Schizosaccharomyces pombe: one gene and its partners. Changing the gene in region 1 together with any one later gene gives a genetic interaction. Each region holds a gene or a part of one and is shown in the gene's direction. Other genes may lie near its edges. The genes, in order: top1, sub1, mus81 and top2.

The links.
Region 2: mutations in top1 (region 1) and sub1 together harm fitness more than expected from each alone (negative genetic interaction), as found in Schizosaccharomyces pombe (2 studies listed by BioGRID).
Region 3: of top1 (region 1) and mus81, a mutation in one rescues a mutant of the other (synthetic rescue), as found in Schizosaccharomyces pombe (3 studies listed by BioGRID).
Region 4: of top1 (region 1) and top2, changing one enhances a phenotype caused by changing the other (phenotypic enhancement), as found in Schizosaccharomyces pombe (5 studies listed by BioGRID, with this or other methods).

Annotation. Positions count from the first base shown.
Region 1 is NC_003423.3:2,941,196-2,946,485, reverse strand, and holds top1 (DNA topoisomerase I), read left to right. Parts: upstream 1-1,889; 5' UTR 1,890-1,905; coding exon 1,906-1,918; exon of another isoform or gene 1,919-1,971; coding exon 1,972-2,072; exon of another isoform or gene 2,073-2,118; coding exon 2,119-4,449; 3' UTR 4,450-4,752; downstream 4,753-5,290. Other genes in the region: HOPS/CORVET complex subunit, vacuolar sorting protein Vps33, read left to right, coding at 1-186, 227-499, 551-1,320. UniProt on the Schizosaccharomyces pombe protein: Releases the supercoiling and torsional tension of DNA introduced during the DNA replication and transcription by transiently cleaving and rejoining one strand of the DNA duplex.
Region 2 is NC_003424.3:3,078,988-3,083,963, forward strand, and holds sub1 (transcription coactivator PC4), read left to right. Parts: upstream 1-2,010; 5' UTR 2,011-2,024; coding exon 2,025-2,117; exon of another isoform or gene 2,118-2,167; coding exon 2,168-2,485; 3' UTR 2,486-2,580; downstream 2,581-4,976. Other genes in the region: SPOM_SPAC16A10.01 (uncharacterized protein), read left to right, coding at 1-1,181; SPOM_SPAC16A10.03C (Pep5/Vps11-like zinc finger domain-containing protein), read right to left, coding at 2,581-4,863, 4,915-4,976.
Region 3 is NC_003421.2:460,678-465,214, forward strand, and holds mus81 (Holliday junction resolvase subunit Mus81), read left to right. Parts: upstream 1-2,042; coding exon 2,043-2,138; exon of another isoform or gene 2,139-2,147; intron 2,148-2,304; exon of another isoform or gene 2,305-2,306; coding exon 2,307-4,037; downstream 4,038-4,537. Other genes in the region: PHD finger domain-containing protein Phf1, read left to right, coding at 1-825; mrpl4 (mitochondrial 54S ribosomal protein uL29m), read left to right, coding at 1,274-1,708; coq5 (C-methytransferase), read left to right, coding at 4,260-4,452.
Region 4 is NC_003423.3:1,975,655-1,983,187, reverse strand, and holds top2 (DNA topoisomerase II), read left to right. Parts: upstream 1-1,920; 5' UTR 1,921-2,421; coding exon 2,422-2,505; intron 2,506-2,531; exon of another isoform or gene 2,532-2,561; coding exon 2,562-6,935; 3' UTR 6,936-7,027; downstream 7,028-7,533. UniProt on the Schizosaccharomyces pombe protein: Control of topological states of DNA by transient breakage and subsequent rejoining of DNA strands. Topoisomerase II makes double-strand breaks.

The DNA of each region.
Region 1 (5,290 bases):
TGTTGGAATTATTAGAAAAAACATACCAGGAAGAAGCAACAATAAACTTTGGGAAGGTGGAAGGAGAGATTTCTGCTCTCTACGATAGCGTTCTTTTAGTTGATCGATCATTAGATCGTATTACACCGTTTTTGACTCAACTTACCTACTTTGGATTTTTGGACGAAATACTTGGAATTCAGCAAAGTATGATTCATATTTGTTTATTATTTATCTAACTGATTAGTGAATGTCAAACTTCCTTCATCCTTGGTTAACCGAAATGAAGCTTCAAATACTGGACCGATGAAAAAGTTTTCTTTAAGTTCTTCTTCCAGCCAAATTACCAAGGAAATTAGAGACATAAATTTTAATTGCATAGGCCCTTATTTAAGCAAAATTGCTCGAAAACTATCCAGCGATTTTGAAGGTCGACGTCAAGCCAAAACTGTAAATCAGATTAGAGACTTCGTTTCCAAACTGGGTTCCTTACAATCGGAGCATACATCATTAAATATTCGTAAGTATTTTTTTCTTTTGATTTCCATAAAAAATTTTATTAATTAGATAGACACTGGTCTCGCTGAAACTTTGGTGCAACACACAAAAAATAATTACTTTCAAAAGCTACTACAACTTCAGCATTTGCTAGTTTCTCATGCCGATTCTTTTACTCAATTCAATTTATTAGATGAAATTATCTATGCCGAAGCACCTGTTGAAGAGGTTTTTCGAGTACTTTGCCTTGCAAGTATAACTACCAATGGTTTGAGAAGAAAAGATATAGATCATTACCGTAGGGAAATCACTCAAACATATGGTTATTATCACCTTTTAACATTCCAAGCCTTGATAGATGCAGGACTATTGCGCCTCCGGCAATCCACTAATATTTCACTTCAAAAATCATTGTCTTATTCTACATGGTTAAACACTTATCCTTTGGTTAAGGACGAAGTTGATGAGCAGAATCCTGAAGATATAGCCTATACGTACAGCGGGTACGGTCCTTTGTCAGTCCACATAGCATATGACATTTTAAAAGGCAGAGACAATGAAGAAAAAATTCTTAAGTTGCAAAATATGCCTGGAACTTACGTTGACAAGTGGACATTAGACCAGGAAAAGGTCATGCCTAAAAATTTGAAGACAAACGTACCAGGTAAACGTCGTGTTTTAGTTTTTTTCATCGGTGGTTGCACGTACACAGAGCTGGCTGCATTTCGTTTATTGCAAGAAAAAGAAGATTTATATGAATTCACATTTATGACTACGGGAATGGTAACTGGAAGCTCTCTAATAAGAGCTTTTATTCCAAATATTGAATCTTTGAATGAGTGATGATCACCCAGTTTCATTAATTTGTTCAACAGCTAAAGACGATATTTAATCTCATTTTTTTTCACTAAGAGAATCCCATAATTTTAATTATTGTTTTTTTTATTAACCCACTTTATTAAGTCCTTAGTAGTTTATGAATTTGAAGTGGCATTAAAGCTTTCCCTATATGCTGTTAAGCTATTTGCTATTTACTGCCAAAATATTAGCTTACATATTAAATAATAAACCTCCAATATTTGGCAGCTAATGGCTTATTGTATCAATCAAATCACCTTTTTTTTGTTTTGGATATTCAGTGGCTTTTGGTATTGTTTACAATAAATGTAAAGTTAAAGCTTTCAAAATTATTAGAGATTACTTTTCTCGTACTGTTAATGGGTTTATTTTGAAATATGCACATTTATAGCTTTTTGCTGCAAGCTTCGTAACATTAAATTTTATTTTATTTGAAAATTCCAGTTTCTCATTTAGCTACTAATTTTTACAAACATTAATTGTCAATATTTGGTTGTCATGACAACGAGTGTACGTACTCAATATTAATCCTTCTTTTACTGTATTATAGATGTATGCAAACAATTCACAATGTCTTCGTCTGGTAAGGTTTCACGTAATTTAACAACATTTGCAAAATTTTTAACAACTGAAAAGATTCAGATTCCGTGTCTTTATCCATTAGAAGGAGGCAAAGACGCGGTTCATCTAAACGGATTAGTATGAAGGAGTCGGACGAAGAGAGTGATAGTTCTGAAGTATGTTCACAACATAATAATTAAAGATTGTTGACTAATTGTTTAGAATCATCCTCTTAGTGAATCGTTGAATAAGAAATCCAAATCCGAGAGTGATGAGGATGATATACCGATTAGAAAGAGACGTGCTTCTTCAAAGAAAAATATGTCCAATTCAAGCTCTAAAAAAAGAGCTAAAGTAATGGGAAATGGTGGTTTAAAAAACGGAAAAAAAACGGCGGTTGTAAAAGAGGAAGAGGATTTCAATGAAATTGCAAAGCCCTCACCGAAGCATAAACGTGTTTCTAAAGCGAATGGAAGTAAAAATGGCGCGAAGTCAGCTGTTAAAAAAGAGGAAAGTGACACAGATGATTCAGTTCCATTGAGAGCTGTTTCGACTGTATCTTTAACTCCTTACAAATCAGAACTGCCTTCGGGAGCTTCGACCACGCAAAATCGCTCACCAAACGATGAGGAAGATGAAGATGAGGATTACAAGTGGTGGACTTCAGAAAATATCGATGATACTCAAAAATGGACTACATTGGAGCATAATGGTGTAATTTTTGCTCCACCCTATGAACCTTTACCAAAGAACGTCAAGCTAATTTACGATGGAAACCCCGTAAATCTTCCTCCCGAAGCAGAAGAAGTTGCTGGTTTTTATGCTGCAATGCTTGAAACCGATCATGCCAAAAATCCTGTATTCCAAGATAATTTTTTCCGTGACTTCTTAAAGGTCTGTGATGAATGTAACTTTAATCACAACATTAAAGAGTTTTCTAAATGTGATTTTACCCAAATGTTTCACCATTTTGAGCAAAAGAGGGAAGAGAAGAAGAGTATGCCGAAGGAACAGAAGAAGGCAATAAAGCAGAAAAAAGATGAGGAAGAGGAAAAATATAAATGGTGCATACTTGATGGGAGAAAGGAGAAGGTTGGTAACTTTCGTATTGAACCTCCAGGGTTATTTCGTGGTCGAGGTAGTCATCCTAAAACTGGTTCTTTAAAGCGTCGAGTATATCCTGAACAAATTACCATTAATATTGGTGAAGGTGTACCCGTTCCAGAACCACTCCCTGGGCATCAATGGGCGGAGGTAAAGCATGATAATACAGTGACCTGGTTGGCAACCTGGCATGAAAATATAAATAATAATGTCAAATATGTCTTTTTAGCTGCAGGAAGTTCTCTAAAAGGACAGAGTGACTTAAAAAAATACGAAAAGTCAAGAAAGCTTAAGGATTATATTGATGATATCCGTAAAGGCTACCGGAAAGATTTGAAAAGTGAGTTAACGGTTGAGCGTCAAAGAGGAACTGCCATGTATTTAATTGATGTTTTTGCTTTAAGAGCAGGAAATGAAAAGGGTGAAGACGAGGCGGATACTGTTGGTTGTTGTTCACTGCGATATGAACATGTTACACTGAAGCCACCACGAACAGTCGTTTTCGATTTTCTTGGTAAAGATTCTATTCGTTACTACAACGAGGTTGAAGTTGATCCCCAAGTTTTTAAAAATCTAAAGATCTTTAAACGTCCTCCCAAAAAAGAGGGTGATTTAATTTTCGACCGTCTCAGTACAAACAGTCTTAACAAATATCTGACTAGCCTTATGGATGGACTTTCAGCTAAAGTATTTCGTACCTACAATGCTTCATACACCATGGCCGAGGAACTTAAGAAAATGCCTAAGAACCTCACCCTTGCAGACAAAATACTATTTTATAATAGGGCAAATAGGACTGTTGCAATTTTATGTAATCATCAACGTTCCGTAACCAAAAATCACGATGTTCAAATGGAACGGTTTGCCGAAAGGATTAAGGCATTACAATACCAGCGGATGAGACTGCGAAAAATGATGCTGAATTTAGAGCCCAAGCTTGCTAAAAGCAAGCCCGAATTGCTGGCTAAAGAAGAAGGCATTACCGATTCATGGATCGTAAAACATCACGAGACACTTTACGAACTAGAAAAAGAGAAAATAAAAAAGAAATTCGATCGTGAGAACGAAAAATTAGCTGCTGAGGATCCCAAATCAGTGCTTCCGGAATCTGAATTGGAAGTTCGATTGAAAGCGGCTGATGAGTTGAAGAAAGCGCTGGACGCTGAACTTAAAAGCAAAAAAGTCGATCCAGGTCGTTCTTCGATGGAACAACTTGAGAAAAGATTAAACAAACTCAATGAACGAATTAATGTTATGCGTACTCAGATGATCGATAAAGACGAGAATAAAACTACTGCTTTGGGTACAAGTAAGATTAACTACATAGACCCGAGGCTTACTTATTCGTTCAGCAAGCGAGAAGACGTTCCTATTGAGAAGCTGTTTAGTAAGACGATTCGTGACAAGTTCAATTGGGCTGCTGATACACCTCCGGATTGGAAGTGGTAAGTCCTCTACGATTTAAGAAAAGTATCTTTCATTGAACTTTTTAAAAAAAAATTATTTATTATCATCCTACGGCAGACAAATTGTGAAAGTGCTTCGTAATTTCGTGACTTAATGATGTCTTGAAATGAATGCTAGCGTACAACAACTTAGTGTGCTGAAAGAAGGAATTAATTACTTCTAGTTTAGTGTTTAATAAAAATTCATACAAAAAATGCAAAGCTAAGGAAGTTTTTTCAGCAAAAATATAGACAGAATAAAATTTAGCACAAAACAAATTGAACGTGACATTTCATACTATCCCCATTGCATTTGGCTTTTTTTTTCATAATTACTGTTTACTCTTGAGGTCTTTTTCTTTAATATTGGTGAAATGCCTGTTACGATCATCAAATTCAATATACAAGCAAACTTACTCTTGTAAACAATTTTTTTTTTGTTTTTTTTTTTTTACAAATAGAAAAGGAAAGAAAAGCCAAGCTGCTGCTTTTTTAATCTTTATACCAATTACTCTTCTTTGGTTGTACTAAATAGTTTTTCAAGCACTTCTATACCATCCAAATTACTTTTTTCTCTAGCGTTTACATTTGACTGCCTTTTTCGCATCTTTAAACCCGGTTTCCACTTTTTCGTTCTCTTTGTCAGATTGGCACAAGTTCCGGTATAGCAGAAATATCAGTGGAAGAGATTTTGTCTCACTATTTGCTGGAGCAATCCAATGCAACCACGAGCGGATACAATCGGGTTGGTAAAGATTAAATTACGTAAAACAAAGTATGAACACACTAGCATTTGGATCCTACCTTCTACGAGTACCTACATTTACTCAACCGGATTCCTAAAT
Region 2 (4,976 bases), on another chromosome or scaffold:
ATTGTATGTTTGTTTATTTTAAAAAGCTTGAGCAGTATAGTCCTGATGTTTTTGTCGTTCGCGTTACATCTCAAACCGATTTAAATAGGATGGTTTTAGTAAACGAAATTTTTCGAAGGGTTATGAGGGATAAGTTGAGTGCGGAAGATGGTACAGAAGTTTTGCGAAACATCACATCTTTTCGCCCTTTGTACAGAGATTGGCTTGTTGCCTTCATGCATGGAGTTGCGAGCGCTTCGATTCTACCAGTTGTATATGGAGGTGGATGGAGAGATATGTTGATAGGCTTCGTGCTCGGTCTATTGCTTGGTATATTTCGTGTTTACATTAATCCTCGATTTTTCTTATTTGACAGTCTTTTCGAAGTTATTATTTCAATTATTCTATCATTTCTGGGCAGAGCATTCGGAAGTATCAGCAGATACGACAAACCTGTATTTTGTTTTGCTGCTCTCGTTGAAGGAGCCATTACTTTAATTCTTCCAGGTTACGTAGTATTTTGTGGCGTTTTGGAGCTTCAATCAAAAAACATTGTGGCAGGAGGTGTTCGAATGTTATACGCCGTCATTTTTTCATTATTTTTAAGTTTTGGGATTACCATTGGATCTGCTCTGTATGGTTGGATGGACAAAGATGCTACCGATGCTGATACATGTATGAGTATAATTGCAGTCAGTCCATACTGGTACATTCTTTTAATCCCAATATTTACGTTGAGTCTATTAATCGTGACCCAGTCTCATCCTAGACAATGGCCTATTCAAATGTTTGTGGCATGCTGTGGATATGTGGTGTATTACTTTTCTTCCTTACATTTTGGTGCTAGTCAGATATCAAGTGCTATAGGTTCATTTGCAGTCGGATGCTTAGGAAATATGTACTCACATTTCATTAAATCTTCTTCTTTTGCCGTGGTACTTCCAGCAATCTTTGTTCTAGTACCTTCAGGGTTTGCAGCTCAAGGAGGTGTCAGTGCTGGACTTGATACAGCTAGCCAAATTACCAGCAAAAATACAACTACAAATACTACTACTGTTACAACAGAAAATTCCCAGAACAGCAGTCTTGAATTTGGTTTTACAATGGTTGAAATTGCCATTGGAATTGCAATTGGATTTCTTGCCAGTTCTCTTACTGTGTATCCGTTCTTTGGTTATCGACGAAAAAACATGATGCTTTAAATAAGTATTTCCAATTCGCGTGTTGTTGAAACTTAGTTCTCAACTACACGTTAATTTTCAAAAAAAAACATGTTGCTTGCCTGTTTGTTTTAGGTATTGCTACAATTCTGTGTTTTAATTTATATTGTATCAAGACGATAGATATTCTTCTCACTCCGTTATCTACCTGACATTGTATATTTCACCGCGTCCTTTATATGTTCCAGTTCTTTTTTTTTTCAATCTAACTATTCATTTAACTCATTACTTTTGGAATGTCTATTGCTAAAGTAAATGCTGTATTATATTATTACTACTGTTAATATTTTAATAATTTAATTCAGGCGTTGTGAAAACTTTTGATGCCTGTCCCATTATAAGTAAATTTTGTTATTATTAGATATAACTGAAAAACTTAATATATGAGATCTAATCGTATTCCATTACTTTTGCATCTCTAAATGTATACTATTTGTGGGGATACGCTTGCCTTTGCCTATGTAAATTAAATTGCAAACGGAATGTAATTTTCAATAAATCATTCACAAGCAAATTCAAGGATGGCGATTAAATATGGGTTGCAGTAATAACAGGCAAAGGGGTTTTTTCATATTAATCATAAGTGTTCTATAAATGGATTTAGGTGAAAAAAGTCCCCACGTGAGTATCCTAAAATTCATACCCAGCCGAAAAGCACTTATAGTAAGTACGCTAAACTTCGCATACTTTAAATACTCATAAATTATGACAAGTTTATACTCACATCGGTAAGCTGATAACACCGCTACACATAGCAACTCCTTATGTGGTGAATGTGTTACCATCCTTGGAGTCAAAATGTGATTTTACCAATACGATTTAAATATGGCTGGAAAACGAGTGATAGCTTCGGGAGACAAAGCATCCAGCAAAAAGCCTAAAACAGAGAAGCAATCCGATCATGAATTGCACTGGGCAGTAAGTTCTTAAAAGAAATTCTGCGAAACTAATAAATTGTTTTGGATTAGTTGAATGAAACGGAAAAGAAAAGAATAACTTTGTCAGAATTCCGTGGTACTAGATATGTTCATATTCGGGAATATTATGAAAAAGATGGTGACATGCTACCAGGAAAAAAGGGGATTGCTCTCAACATAAATGAATGGAAAAAATTGAAACAACTTATTCACGAGGTAGATGATTCTTTAGGATTAGTCGATAGCGGCTCGGATTCGGAAGATGAGATTAAAGAAAAAGCTGAAAACAACGCATCCTTAAAAAATGATGAAGACGACTTAAATACCAAAACAGAGAACAAAACTGACGACTCTTCGGTTGAAAATTAAACAGTGTTGTGATTCAACTGATGAGTAACAAAAGAAAATCTTCTCGTTTAATCAGATTAGATTCAAGCAATGGCAAACGTTTCATCTATTAAACATTACAACATAACTGAATCAATAGATTCAAAATCGTGAAATAACTCAGAAAACGTAGACGTTTTTTTCTGATCATGTGAATTCTTTTTATCCAAATAACCCGCCTTGCATTTTGGACATACAGTTTCAGTAGCACAATCACGGTGTACTAAATGTAGACAACTGTAACTAACAAAAGGAACATCTAAGAGACCTTCACAGTTGTCGCAAACTTTTTCTGAATCTTGTATAGTTCCCAAAAGCTGCCTTTTTTTTTCTATGTCATTTTTAATTACCTGGATTTCATCATCATTTTGATGGATGCGAGTTTCATAATCATTCATCCATTTAAGAAGTAAAGGCTTAAGAAAGCAAAAGTTCAACGTGCCGTCTTTCACCAGAATATTCAAAACATGTTGAATGGGGATACGAAATTGCATAAAACAAGCCTCCAAAATCTTATATAAAATATCTTCGTACTTGTTAGTTATAGATCGTTCACGAACAAAGAATTTGAGAACATGAAGGGCGTCTTCGCTGCTATACGTTTCACTAAGGGTTTTTACGGTTTCAGGATCACTGATTATTTGCTGAATTAAGGAATCATCTTGACCTTCCTTAAGAGATAAATGAGAATACAGTAAGTCTGTCACTTGTTTCCAAGAGACCGCCTGCAAACAAAGAATGGACGATTCGTAGTCTAAAAGGCCTTGACTATCATGAATAATTTGAAGTGCATCTAATTCATTTTGGGGGTTAGAGTGTTGTAGCTCTTTTTGCATTAATGCATATAGTTTCCGTGTGTAAATGAATTTTAGTACATTTTCTGATTTCTTGCTTTTCAAAAGTTCATCAAGAAATATTAATTGTATCTGTACGTTTTGACTGAAAATTCCTAAATACACGATTTTAAGAATATTTGACAACTCCTTATCTTTGCCTTGGGAATTTAGAATTTCGATATTTCTTATCGCTTCTTTCATAAACCTCATCGGATCCGAATTAAATAACCAAATACCAAATGAGTTAGATGTTCGCAACAATTCCGGTAAATTACAAACTTGAAGGTGATTAAACGCCTTTTCAACATCACCTTTCTCTTGATAAACTTCCATGCATACATTTGGGAGTTTTCGAATAGTTCCTAGCAGCTCCATTTGATCTAAGCACTTGTATTTCCTTAAAATTGGCAAAGAAATTTCAGTAGGGCAACCGCTTACATATTCGGTAAGCTTGTCCAATTTTCTAAGCTTGATATACAAGTATATTAACGTTGATATTTCATGCGAAAACGCGAACCCCTTAGCAGAAAGTGCTTCCAAATAAGAAGTCAATTCTTTAATTAATTTTTTTTCCAAGTAAAATTTAATTATCTCTGCTGAATCAGAAAACGGTATAGCTTCAATATAATAATACGTAGCGTCTTGAAAGTTTAATTGCTGGCGACATTCGCCAGCAGCTGCAAGAGCACATTCGCGAATTGTATCTTCAGGAGAACCCAGGTAATTAGCAATTTTAAATGCATCCTTATGCTCTTTTTTTCCCTTCATTTTGCATAAAACAAAGTCAGATGGAAGACGTATTAATTGACAAGGAACTTTAGTCGAAGAAAAAAATATACAATCAAAAGAATTGAAAAAAATATTATCATAGCTCTGTTCAAGTAAACTTTCATATAGAACATAGCGTTTCTCTACGTCCAATGCTTTGATTTCGCGTATAGATGAATTGTTTTCCAGTCCGTTTTCACCATTTTTTCTAGTGTATACCACAAAAACAAGCCCAAAACTAGAAAATAGGAGTTCAAATGTACCATCGACACAGTATGTGTTTTGTAACTGCATATCAGGAGTGGTATAAACAGAAAGAAAGGAGCCACCAGCGCACATGATATACTTTCCTTGATACTGAATTGAACAAAATAAAGGTATACCATGATTGGAAATGACCTTTTTGGTGTTATTTTTTATCTTATAAACCATAACCTGAGTCGTGGTAGAAACAAATAGTTTTTTAGGTGAATATAAGATAAGATTTGTTATAGAATCTTTTTCTCTTAGTATAATATCTTGTCTTGATCCCAAATCTCTTACAAAATCACCTTCAACGCGTATAACCAATCCATTTGCAAATCCACAAACCACGGTTTTAATATCAATCGAAACATACAGTGAAGTTGCAGGAAAAGGTGGATTCGGAATTCCATATAGTCGATGCTCGTAAAGACATAAAGGTGAGTTTGAGTTTGTTTTTTTAGATGGATTCAAGGACCAAAATTGTAAATAAACAAAGTTTTGCTTATCAAGCTACAACCAACATAAATTATGATTAGCATTTAAACATATCATGTGACTTACAACAACACAGCATAAAGCCGATTGATCTGCAGTTATGTAGATTTGTTGGACAATGCCTTGTT
Region 3 (4,537 bases), on another chromosome or scaffold:
GATATGGTCACCTTGTGTAGCGTCTGTCAACGAGGACATTCTCCTTTATCTAATCGAATCGTATTTTGTGATGGATGCAATTCTCCATATCATCAGCTTTGCCATCACCCTCCGATTGACGATGCAACCGTTCAGGATGTGGATGCTGAATGGTTTTGTATGAAATGCCAGTACAGGCGTGCCAAGCAACCTTTAGAAACGGGAATGACGGCACAAGATCTTGGGTTAAGTGAATCAGACAAAAAAATGTATCTATCAAGTTTACCTACTCCTCATCTCGCAGATCTTATTCTTTTTTGTGAAAAGTCTTATCCATCTCTTCCCATATACAACCCACGTACTCGGGAGTTGTTGGGTGAGATTCGGCATCAACTACTTGTTAGTTCTGAACGCCAACAAATATCTTTACAAGAGCGACTTCATGCTAAACAAGATGAAGCTCCCTCTGATGAGCCTGCACCTGTCCCCTATACCGCAAGTTATGTTGCGAATTCTGGAACCTTATACGACTATCCAACGTTAATACGGTTAGCTATTCGTAACACCCTCTCACCTTCCAAAGATGAAATATTTAACTGGCTTGCTCAAAACGTACCATTGTTACCAACTTTTCACGACAGCGCTTCCGAGGCCATTCGTTGGATGGTAAATAAAGGTCAACTGGTCCGTTCCGGTAGCATCTATCAAATAGCAACAGTCGAAGAATACCCTCACCTCCAACCCTCTTTACTTCCTACTTTTCAACGAAACCGTAAGGTACCTAAATTGGTGCCTGTCTCTTTCCCCACCGATGATCCTCAAAATTTATGTGCTACTGTTTTATGAAACTGAACAAATTTTTCTAAATGTATAGACAAAAAAAATTTCTTTACTTCCCGTTTTTAATTAAACGGTTGCGTCCCGTTAATCTCGAAATAAATTTATAAGCGGTCGAAAGCAATGTATCATTACACCATGTATTAGCTGCAAATCAAAGTACTTTAGTATTTCCTTCATGGATTCAAACTTTTCACTCGATAACAAATCTAGGGAAAATACATAAATCGCCCTACACACTTTCTGTTTACATTATAAACTTTTCGTTTGGAATGTTTCCTCGCCATGAAATCTTAAAATAAAATAAAATAAGGAAATGAACAATTTCTCAATTTAGCAATAATTAAGAAAGTCAATGAAGTATAATAAAAAATAATTATTTTTAAAGTATGACTTACAACCATTATTATCGGTCAATGTCAGGGTGTTACAGCGCACCTTCTACTTACCACCAAAGATGAGGTCCACGTTGGCTAGCGCTCAGAAAGCAGCCGTACGTATTCCAAAGGGCTTTGTATTTCCTGTTCCAAAAGTAAAAAGTGCTCCTAAGGTTTCAGACACGCACCCTTTGTGGAATTTCTTTCGGGACAAGCAAGCCCTTCCACCACCATCGGAAGAGGCTAAATTCGGTAGAGCATGGGCTGCAGAAGAGCTTCGTTGGAAGTCTTTTAATGATCTACATGGACTTTGGTACAATTGTCTCCGAGAGAAGAACCTATTGTTCACACAAAGGGCTGAAATGAAACGCTTACAGTTGACTATTCCCAAAGCCTCAAATGAGCGTGTACTTGCAGTCAATAAAACCATGGCAGCTATCAAATTTGTCCTATGGGAACGCCAAAGAGCATATACTTCTGCCAAGCAGCTCGAGAAACAAAAGGGATCTTCTTAAACCCCTTCCTTTTAGGAAAACAGAAAATCATCCAAGTATGGCTTTATTATGATCTAAAGCTTCATCATTTCACAAACTTTCTAAAAATATACCCTAATACACGAGAAACTGTTTTATAATGATGATAATGATTTTTTATTTTGTTCACCTATAATTGTTTTCTTTATTTTGTTTATACTGATCATAAAATCTCGGTTGTCCCGGCAACCATGCTAATGTCTTTACACGAAATTTAGGAAATCGCATTCTATCCACATCCATTTGTTTAGACTTTTGTTTCGTGTGACAATCGATAATTTGAATGAAATAGTTTTTTTCTTTGTTTTTCGGATCCATGGATTGTGGAAATCCGCTGTTTTTACAATGGATACAGGAGTGGATGGAAGAGTCGACGCGTCGCTTCCCCAAGTCATATCAAACCTGGAGAAAGGTAGGAAATTTATTGGATTAGTGAAAAACTCTTTGAAAAATAAATAATTTAAATATTAAATTAATAATGACTGTAATTTTTCGAAAGCTTTTATAGCTTCGTACTCCATAAATATCATAACAATCACTGTTGTTGTTGTTTTAAATAAGAAACCGTGCTAATAATTAGGCCTACGATTCAATGAAAAGTTGCCCCATCACATTTCATCGTCCTTCTCAGGCATTGGCACTGAAGGGAATTGGCCCTACGATTTGTGCCAAGCTAGAAAAGAAATGGAACGCTTACTGTTTGGAAAATAATATTCCAATTAGCACGCACAATGAACAGAATGATTCTCATGTCAATGCTAATAAATCGTCTTCTGAGACTTCTTCTGAAAAGCCTCGAAGCGTTAAAAAACCGACTACAAGAAAGAGAAAGGTCTATGTTCCGAGCTATCGTTCTGGTGCATATTCAATTCTTTGCGCTCTTTATATGCTTAATAAACACGAATTCGCTACAAAGCCTCAAATTGTTACGATGGCCCAACCGTATTGTGATTCGTCCTTTGGATCTGCTACAGACCGAAACATGCGTTATACTGCATGGAGTGCTATGAAGACTTTGATCACAAAAAATTTAGTTTACCAGACAGGTCATCCCTCTAAGTACTGCTTGACCGACGATGGTGAAGAAGTTTGCATACGTTTGGCAAAAGTAGACGATTCCTTTCAACGGAAACATACTGTATCAAACTTTTCTGTCTCTAAATCCGATGATCATGATTCCTCTTTATGCCAACCTCCAAATTTTGTTACATCAATCAATAAAGCAGGAAGTTCTTCAGACCACGGAGGTGAACTACATGTTACTTACTGTCCGGTAGATCATAATGAAGTTTCTGATGGTGTTGAAACCGATATAGATGTTGATCAGGTGGATTCGTTGACCGGAATTCATGATCACCATATCATTAACAATGAGCAGTTGATTGACTTGACGGAACAAGAAAAAAAGCAACCAAATGAAAGCAATTTGTCTAACTTAAAAATCGAGACGGTATTATTCTCAAACTGTACGGTTTTTCTTCTGATTGATACTCGAGAAATACGTTCTCCCTTGGATCGCAATCTTATTATCGATAAACTGACTAATGACTTTGGTGTCAATTGTCAGGTACGATCATTAGAATTGGGAGATGCTTTATGGGTTGCAAGGGATATGGAAAGCGGTCAAGAAGTTGTGTTGGATTTTGTCGTTGAAAGGAAAAGATATGATGATTTAGTTGCTTCCATTAAGGACGGAAGATTTCACGAACAAAAGGCACGTCTAAAGAAGAGCGGAATACGTTCAGTCACCTACATTTTGGAGGAATCCTCTTATGATGAAAGTTTCACGGAATCAATTCGTACAGCTGTTAGCAATACCCAAGTCGATCAATTATTTCATGTCCGTCATACGCGATCACTTGAACACAGCGTAAGTTTGCTTGCTGAAATGACAAAGCAAATTAACCTGTTTTATGAGAAACGTAAAACCCTCGCTGTCATTCCCGATTTGTCGATAGAAGCCAAAACTTATGAGTCGTTACGAGAGCAACTTCTAAAAATTGATCCCTCAACTCCTTACCACATATCATACCATGCATTTTCCTCTGTCCTCTCGAAGTCTTCTACTTTGACCGTGGGGGATATTTTTATTCGAATGCTTATGACTATAAAAGGTATAAGTGCTTCAAAAGCCATCGAGATTCAGAAGAAATATCCAACATTCATGCATTTATTTGAGGCGTACGAAAAGTCATCATCTAGCCAGGAAAGAAACTTATTACTGAATAAGACTTGTCAAGGCTATGGTTTTCAAACAATAGGGCCAGCACTTTCCGCCAAGGTCGCAAGCGTTTTCTTTCCAGAATCTTGAGCCTTTGAACTTTTATTTATTTATGATTCATAATATTTATTCAATTTTCTTATCATTTCCCATATATTTAATTTACCTTTGCTTTACCATCGGAAATTGCGTATGTTAGTGTATTGCGGTATATAGGTAGCATCAGATTCCCTTCAAATCGTGAGTTTCTACCTAGCACTATCCATAAACAAAACCGTTACACTTGGTATTCGTTTTTGAAACTGCTGTATCATGTCACGTTTAAGAGCTCCTGTTGCTAAATTTTTAGCTGATGGATTGAAAGGAATCAGGTCTACAGCTTTGGCTGGCTCTCGATTGTCTAATTGTCGCTATACCAGTACTAGCTCGAAAGATACTGATACCTCAAGCCACATGACTCATTTTGGATTTAAAGACGTTCCGGAAGATGAAAAAGAGCACCTTGGTATGTATGGAAGAACTGGTTTGCTAGGACATGTGATTTGATTGTAAATCATAACATTTTGCATTTTGCATTTACTGAAGAAATT
Region 4 (7,533 bases), 970 kb from region 1:
ATATCCGCCGACAACTATGAATTGAATTCTGTTATTGTTCTCCTTTCTTTTTTTTTTAATAAACAAAAAGATGGGAAGAAATAAATAGTTTTCGATGTTTGTTAAACGAAGAATTAGCCAATTTGAGTGTTCAATATAGTCACATTCAAAATTAGCTGAGCAAATTCAAATAAACTAAGATTAGGTTGGGTTTCTTTTCAACAATCCCGCTCTAGGATTGTATTTAAATGAAATTATTTTTAATGCTAGATAAAACAATAGAAGTAATATTGGTAAAGTTTTTCTTGATTTTGAGGAACCTTGATGCTTCTCACTCGGACGTATTGGTGATGCTATTTTGACGCTGATTTTAGTTACAGATCAACCGAAACTTTTTTTCTTCTTAGATATTGACTTCTTTGCCACAAAATACTTCTTTTAAAAACGTCTTTCCACTTTCGACTTTGACAAATAATTTTTTTCTCAAGCGAACTTTTTTTAATATACTATTCGATAGGCGAGCAAATATCCAACGTGGATCCGGGGATAAGCAAAGGCCAAATAGAGGTGCAAGATAGCTAGAAATATGATTTTTTTTCAATAAAATGAATTTTAAAATGAAGAGGACGTTGGTGGAGGATAAGTTCAGGAGGTCTGATGTGTTCCTTGGTAAGCGAGAAATAGCCTTATAATGTGGGACACTGAAGAATCAACCTTTTGATCTGCTCTGATCGAGCGGAATATGTTCGCGATGTCCGATTCCGTTTTTTTGGACTATTATACACAGGAAATTAGGGAAGTGATGGTTATGTTAGATGGCTCAAATTTAGGTCAATTAACATTTTGTGCGAATATCCAATGAAAGAAGCCGCCGATCTATTGATCCACTCTTTTCTTCCATTAAATAATTTATCGCTTACTGACTTATGAGCAGCTGTCTGAGATACTTCAAAAAGCATTTTTCTTGCTCAGATCCTACACATTTCGTTTTGGCTATCCAATGCTTGCTTATACCTTGAAAGAGTGACTCCGAATATGCGTTTGTCTTGCGCTTCCATTTTGTAACTCTCCTTATTAAACAATCGACTTCACACTATTTTTCGTCCATTAATGGGAATTGGTTGGCAACATCGATAAATAATGGAAATACTTAAACCCATGCATCAGCTATCTGCTGGGCCTACCATTTTTTGTTACATTTGCAGCTTCTTTTAAGATTTTCAGAAAAAAGTTTATTGCATTTATTAGATGAGTCTGTTGTTTGAGAGTTCTTTCTATGTTTTTGTTCCTGTTTCATACCTGCAATTGTTAAATAGAGGGAGAAGCTATATTCACAAAATTACTATTAAATTGTTTGAACTTAATGATAGTTACATACAACAATGTTTCAAGAACAGCTTAATCGAAATAATATGGATTAATGCTGATGGTACAATCAAGAAGAATTTAAAAAAGCAGTTTCTGTTTCCATCATTGCTTTCCGTTCATCTCTTTTTATCGTGTTTAGCGTTTTTCTTTCAAATGACCAACTGTAATAGGTCACTCAATTCTTTTACAATCTTTGCGAGCATACTCATGAATTATGGATTTATCTAAACATTCATTTTCCATTTTCAAAATCCTTTGTTTATTCCATACTATATAAAATAGCACCAAGAATTTCAATTTTAATTTCAAAGCACAAACATTCTTTATTATACAATTAATTAATTATTACATTTGCTTTACAAATTAGTTACAGCATATGTTCCAAATACGGTTTTTTTACAGACTTCAATTATGTTTTAAGCGCATCCCTATATTAATAACGCACGGAAATTTAGAAATCCTTTCTTTTGCTATTTATTCTTAAAAATAATTTTCTTTTTCTTTTTCCGTAGTAATCAATTCCTCGGTTGCAACTTCTATCTACTTATGTTCTGTTCTCTCTTCCTATCCTTCACCAGCTACCAACTTCAATCATTGTTGGGATAGTTGAACACATAGCCCTTTAGAGCTTTTAAACAAACTATTTAAATTAGTACTATCATACATACAATCTCTGAAGTTTCCATCATACTATTAGTTTTTCGTCACGCGTTTGCTTTGACCGACTTTCTACATACGTGAATCAGTCTGTGGTGATATAAACGCTTGAATATCTATTTAATACTTTTTTAAACCAAAAAATTAATCCAAATTAACAAAAAACATTATATTTGGTATTCATTCGTTCTACCTTCTTTTTTATCCATTACTTTTTTTTCAGGTCACTTCTCCATTCGTTTTTTAATATCGTATACTAAGGGCAAATATCATTTTCTCTTCTTACATATCTTAATTTTGTTATTTGACGTTGCTTAAAGCGTGTCATTATTATATCCATTGATTTTTTAATAATAACGTTTACACGTTGGAATAACCTTTGATTTACTACATATTTCCAACTTAATTTTACAAACTATGTCCATTGATGCGGATTTCTCCGACTATGAAGATGAAGCGTCTGGAGACGAAAACGTTTTACCTAACACAACCACCAAAAGGGTATGCAAGTGTTTGTGGAATTTATTATTATTTTAAAATACTAACAACTTTTTTAGAAAGCATCTACAACATCCTCAAAGTCTCGCGCCAAGAAGGCAAGCACTCCTGACTTAAGGCAAACTAGCTTGACATCCATGACAGCTTCTGAACAGATACCACTAGTTACCAACAACGGAAATGGAAATTCTAATGTATCTACACAGTACCAGCGTCTTACACCGAGAGAGCATGTGCTAAGACGTCCGGATACATACATTGGCAGTATTGAGCCAACGACTTCTGAAATGTGGGTCTTTGACTCTGAGAAGAACAAGCTGGATTACAAAGCAGTGACCTATGTTCCAGGCCTTTACAAGATATTTGACGAAATAATTGTCAATGCTGCTGACAACAAAGTTCGCGACCCAAACATGAATACCCTAAAGGTGACTTTGGATCCTGAAGCAAATGTCATATCAATTTATAACAATGGCAAGGGCATTCCTATAGAGATTCATGATAAAGAGAAAATTTACATCCCCGAGCTTATTTTTGGTAACTTGCTTACTTCAAGCAATTACGACGATAATCAAAAGAAGGTAACAGGAGGAAGAAATGGTTACGGCGCAAAACTTTGCAATATTTTTTCTACTGAATTTGTCGTTGAGACAGCTGATAAGGAAAGGATGAAGAAATATAAACAAACTTGGTATGACAATATGTCCAGAAAGTCTGAGCCAGTGATCACTTCTCTCAAGAAACCCGATGAATACACAAAAATTACATTCAAACCCGATTTAGCAAAATTTGGTATGGACAAGATTGATGATGATATGGTATCTATTATAAAACGCCGTATTTATGATATGGCAGGTACCGTTCGTGAAACTAAAGTTTACCTGAACAATGAACGCATCAGTATAAGTGGATTTAAGAAATATGTGGAGATGTATCTTGCTTCTGACACTAAACCTGATGAAGAGCCTCCTAGGGTAATTTATGAACATGTTAATGACCGTTGGGACGTGGCCTTTGCTGTTTCAGATGGACAGTTTAAGCAGGTTTCGTTTGTTAACAATATTTCTACCATTCGTGGAGGTACACATGTTAATTATGTTGCCAATAAAATTGTCGATGCTATAGATGAAGTCGTCAAGAAGGAGAATAAAAAGGCACCCGTTAAAGCGTTTCAAATAAAAAATTACGTACAGGTATTTGTCAATTGTCAAATAGAGAACCCATCCTTTGATTCCCAAACAAAGGAGACTCTCACCACGAAAGTTTCTGCTTTTGGCTCTCAATGCACATTAAGTGATAAATTTTTAAAAGCTATCAAAAAATCTTCTGTAGTGGAGGAGGTTTTAAAATTTGCTACCGCTAAGGCAGATCAGCAACTCAGTAAGGGCGATGGGGGTTTGCGTTCTCGTATAACGGGTTTAACCAAACTCGAAGACGCAAATAAAGCGGGTACCAAAGAATCCCATAAGTGTGTCCTTATCCTCACTGAGGGAGATTCTGCTAAATCTTTAGCTGTTTCGGGTCTCAGTGTTGTTGGTAGAGACTATTATGGAGTTTTTCCGTTAAGAGGAAAACTACTGAATGTACGGGAGGCTTCTCATTCCCAAATCCTAAATAACAAAGAAATTCAAGCTATCAAGAAAATCATGGGATTCACTCATAAAAAAACTTATACCGATGTGAAAGGTCTTCGTTATGGTCATTTAATGATTATGACAGATCAAGATCATGATGGATCACATATTAAAGGTTTAATTATTAATTATTTAGAATCCTCGTATCCTTCTCTTTTGCAAATTCCTGGATTCTTGATCCAATTTATCACACCTATCATTAAGTGCACTCGTGGCAATCAGGTTCAAGCATTTTACACTTTACCCGAGTACGAATACTGGAAGGAAGCTAATAACAATGGACGTGGTTGGAAAATTAAATACTACAAGGGTTTGGGAACAAGTGACCATGACGATATGAAAAGTTATTTTTCAGACCTTGATCGTCACATGAAGTACTTTCATGCCATGCAGGAGAAGGATGCTGAATTAATTGAAATGGCATTTGCCAAGAAAAAGGCCGATGTGCGTAAGGAATGGCTTAGAACGTATCGACCTGGTATATATATGGATTATACTCAACCTCAGATTCCGATTGATGACTTCATTAATCGAGAGCTTATCCAATTCAGTATGGCTGATAATATCCGTTCGATTCCTTCAGTAGTAGATGGCTTGAAGCCTGGTCAGCGTAAAGTTGTCTATTATTGTTTTAAACGCAATCTCGTCCATGAAACTAAAGTCAGTAGACTTGCCGGCTATGTTGCTAGTGAAACTGCATACCACCATGGCGAGGTTTCGATGGAGCAAACTATAGTTAATCTTGCCCAAAATTTTGTTGGCAGTAACAACATTAATTTGCTGATGCCTAATGGACAATTCGGTACACGATCTGAGGGTGGAAAAAATGCATCGGCTTCAAGGTATCTAAATACAGCTTTATCACCCTTAGCACGTGTTTTATTTAATTCCAATGATGACCAGCTTCTTAATTACCAAAACGACGAAGGCCAGTGGATTGAACCAGAGTATTATGTGCCAATTCTTCCCATGGTACTTGTCAATGGAGCCGAAGGTATTGGTACTGGCTGGTCTACTTTTATTCCTAATTATAACCCTAAGGATATAACTGCTAATTTAAGACATATGCTTAATGGCGAGCCTTTGGAAATTATGACTCCCTGGTACCGCGGCTTTCGTGGAAGTATAACGAAAGTTGCGCCTGACAGGTACAAAATATCTGGTATAATTAACCAAATTGGTGAAAACAAAGTAGAAATTACTGAATTGCCTATACGATTTTGGACTCAGGATATGAAGGAGTATCTGGAGGCTGGTCTTGTTGGTACGGAAAAAATTCGTAAATTCATCGTGGACTATGAAAGCCATCACGGTGAAGGAAATGTTCACTTTAATGTCACGCTTACCGAAGCTGGCATGAAAGAAGCATTAAATGAATCCTTGGAAGTTAAGTTTAAACTGTCGCGTACTCAAGCAACGAGTAATATGATTGCTTTTGATGCATCTGGACGGATCAAGAAGTATGACAGTGTTGAAGATATTTTGACCGAGTTTTACGAAGTACGTTTAAGGACATACCAGAGACGTAAAGAGCATATGGTTAATGAATTGGAAAAAAGGTTTGATAGATTTTCAAATCAAGCGCGGTTTATTCATATGATTATAGAGGGGGAGCTTGTAGTTTCAAAAAAGAAGAAAAAGGATCTCATTGTGGAGCTGAAGGAAAAGAAGTTTCAACCTATCAGTAAACCAAAGAAAGGGCATTTGGTTGATTTAGAAGTTGAAAATGCTCTTGCTGAAGAAGAACAATCTGGTGATGTTTCGCAAGACGAGGATTCAGATGCCTACAATTACCTTCTTTCAATGCCTTTATGGTCTTTGACCTATGAACGGTATGTGGAACTTCTCAAGAAAAAGGACGAAGTAATGGCCGAACTGGATGCTTTGATTAAAAAAACTCCTAAAGAATTGTGGCTTCATGATTTGGATGCATTTGAGCATGCTTGGAATAAGGTTATGGATGATATTCAGAGAGAAATGTTAGAAGAAGAGCAATCCTCTAGAGATTTTGTAAATCGAACGAAAAAGAAGCCTCGAGGTAAATCCACTGGTACTAGGAAACCCAGGGCTATTGCCGGATCCTCCTCAAGTACTGCTGTTAAAAAAGAAGCTAGCAGCGAATCCAAACCATCTACAACAAATCGAAAGCAACAAACTTTACTTGAGTTCGCAGCGTCGAAAGAACCTGAGAAATCATCTGACATAAACATTGTCAAGACAGAGGATAACTCTCATGGCTTATCAGTTGAAGAAAATCGCATATCTAAGAGCCCGGGATTGGATAGCAGTGATAGTGGAAAATCAAGAAAAAGAAGTCAATCTGTTGACTCTGAAGACGCAGGTAGTAAAAAACCCGTCAAAAAAATAGCAGCCTCGGCGTCTGGAAGAGGAAGAAAGACTAATAAACCAGTTGCTACTACCATATTTTCTTCAGACGATGAAGATGATTTGTTGCCTAGCAGTTTGAAACCTTCCACCATAACATCCACGAAGGCTTCTGCGAAGAATAAAGGGAAAAAAGCAAGCTCGGTAAAGAAACAATCACCTGAAGATGACGATGATGATTTTATTATTCCAGGTAGTAGTTCAACTCCAAAAGCTAGTTCGACTAACGCAGAGCCACCAGAAGATTCAGATTCTCCGATTAGAAAGAGGCCAACCAGAAGAGCAGCGGCTACAGTGAAAACACCTATTTACGTTGATCCCTCGTTTGATAGCATGGATGAACCCAGCATGCAAGATGATTCTTTTATCGTCGATAACGATGAGGATGTAGACGATTATGATGAGAGTGATTAGCTTCTAAAATTTGGTGTTTTCAAACGCTATTTACAGTACAATCTGAAAAAATTGGATGAACATTGTAAATGGTAGGATACGAGTTCCAATTAATGTATTTTTTAAGTATTACACTTAGCTTATTAATTTTATATATACATTCTACCTCTGTGGGTTTAAAGACAACTCGTACACATACTCAAATTATTTATGAACATTATAATGCATATTCGTACTGTCTATTAAACATTTTTTTGACATTAAAAATTTCGTTTACTAACGTAGAAAGCGCTGATAATTGAGGCTACTATTTTAATATCTAGAAACAAAGATTCATTAATTAATTAAGTAAGCTCCAGGATACTTGTATATTTCGTTAAAAAAGCGCAATTTCAACAATTCCTATGAACATCCATGATTTCATCACAAAATCAAACATATCAGGATTTAACGTGAATTATTTGCTTTCTTGTGATTTTCATCTGATTTCTGGTCATTTACGTTACTGTAAACAAGCTTTTTAAAAAAAGGATTTTTTACGCAATATTATCGATATCCCAATCTGTAGTATAAAAAGTGCAACAGTGTTGAGTTTCCCGAAACCAGGCATTTTTGCGGT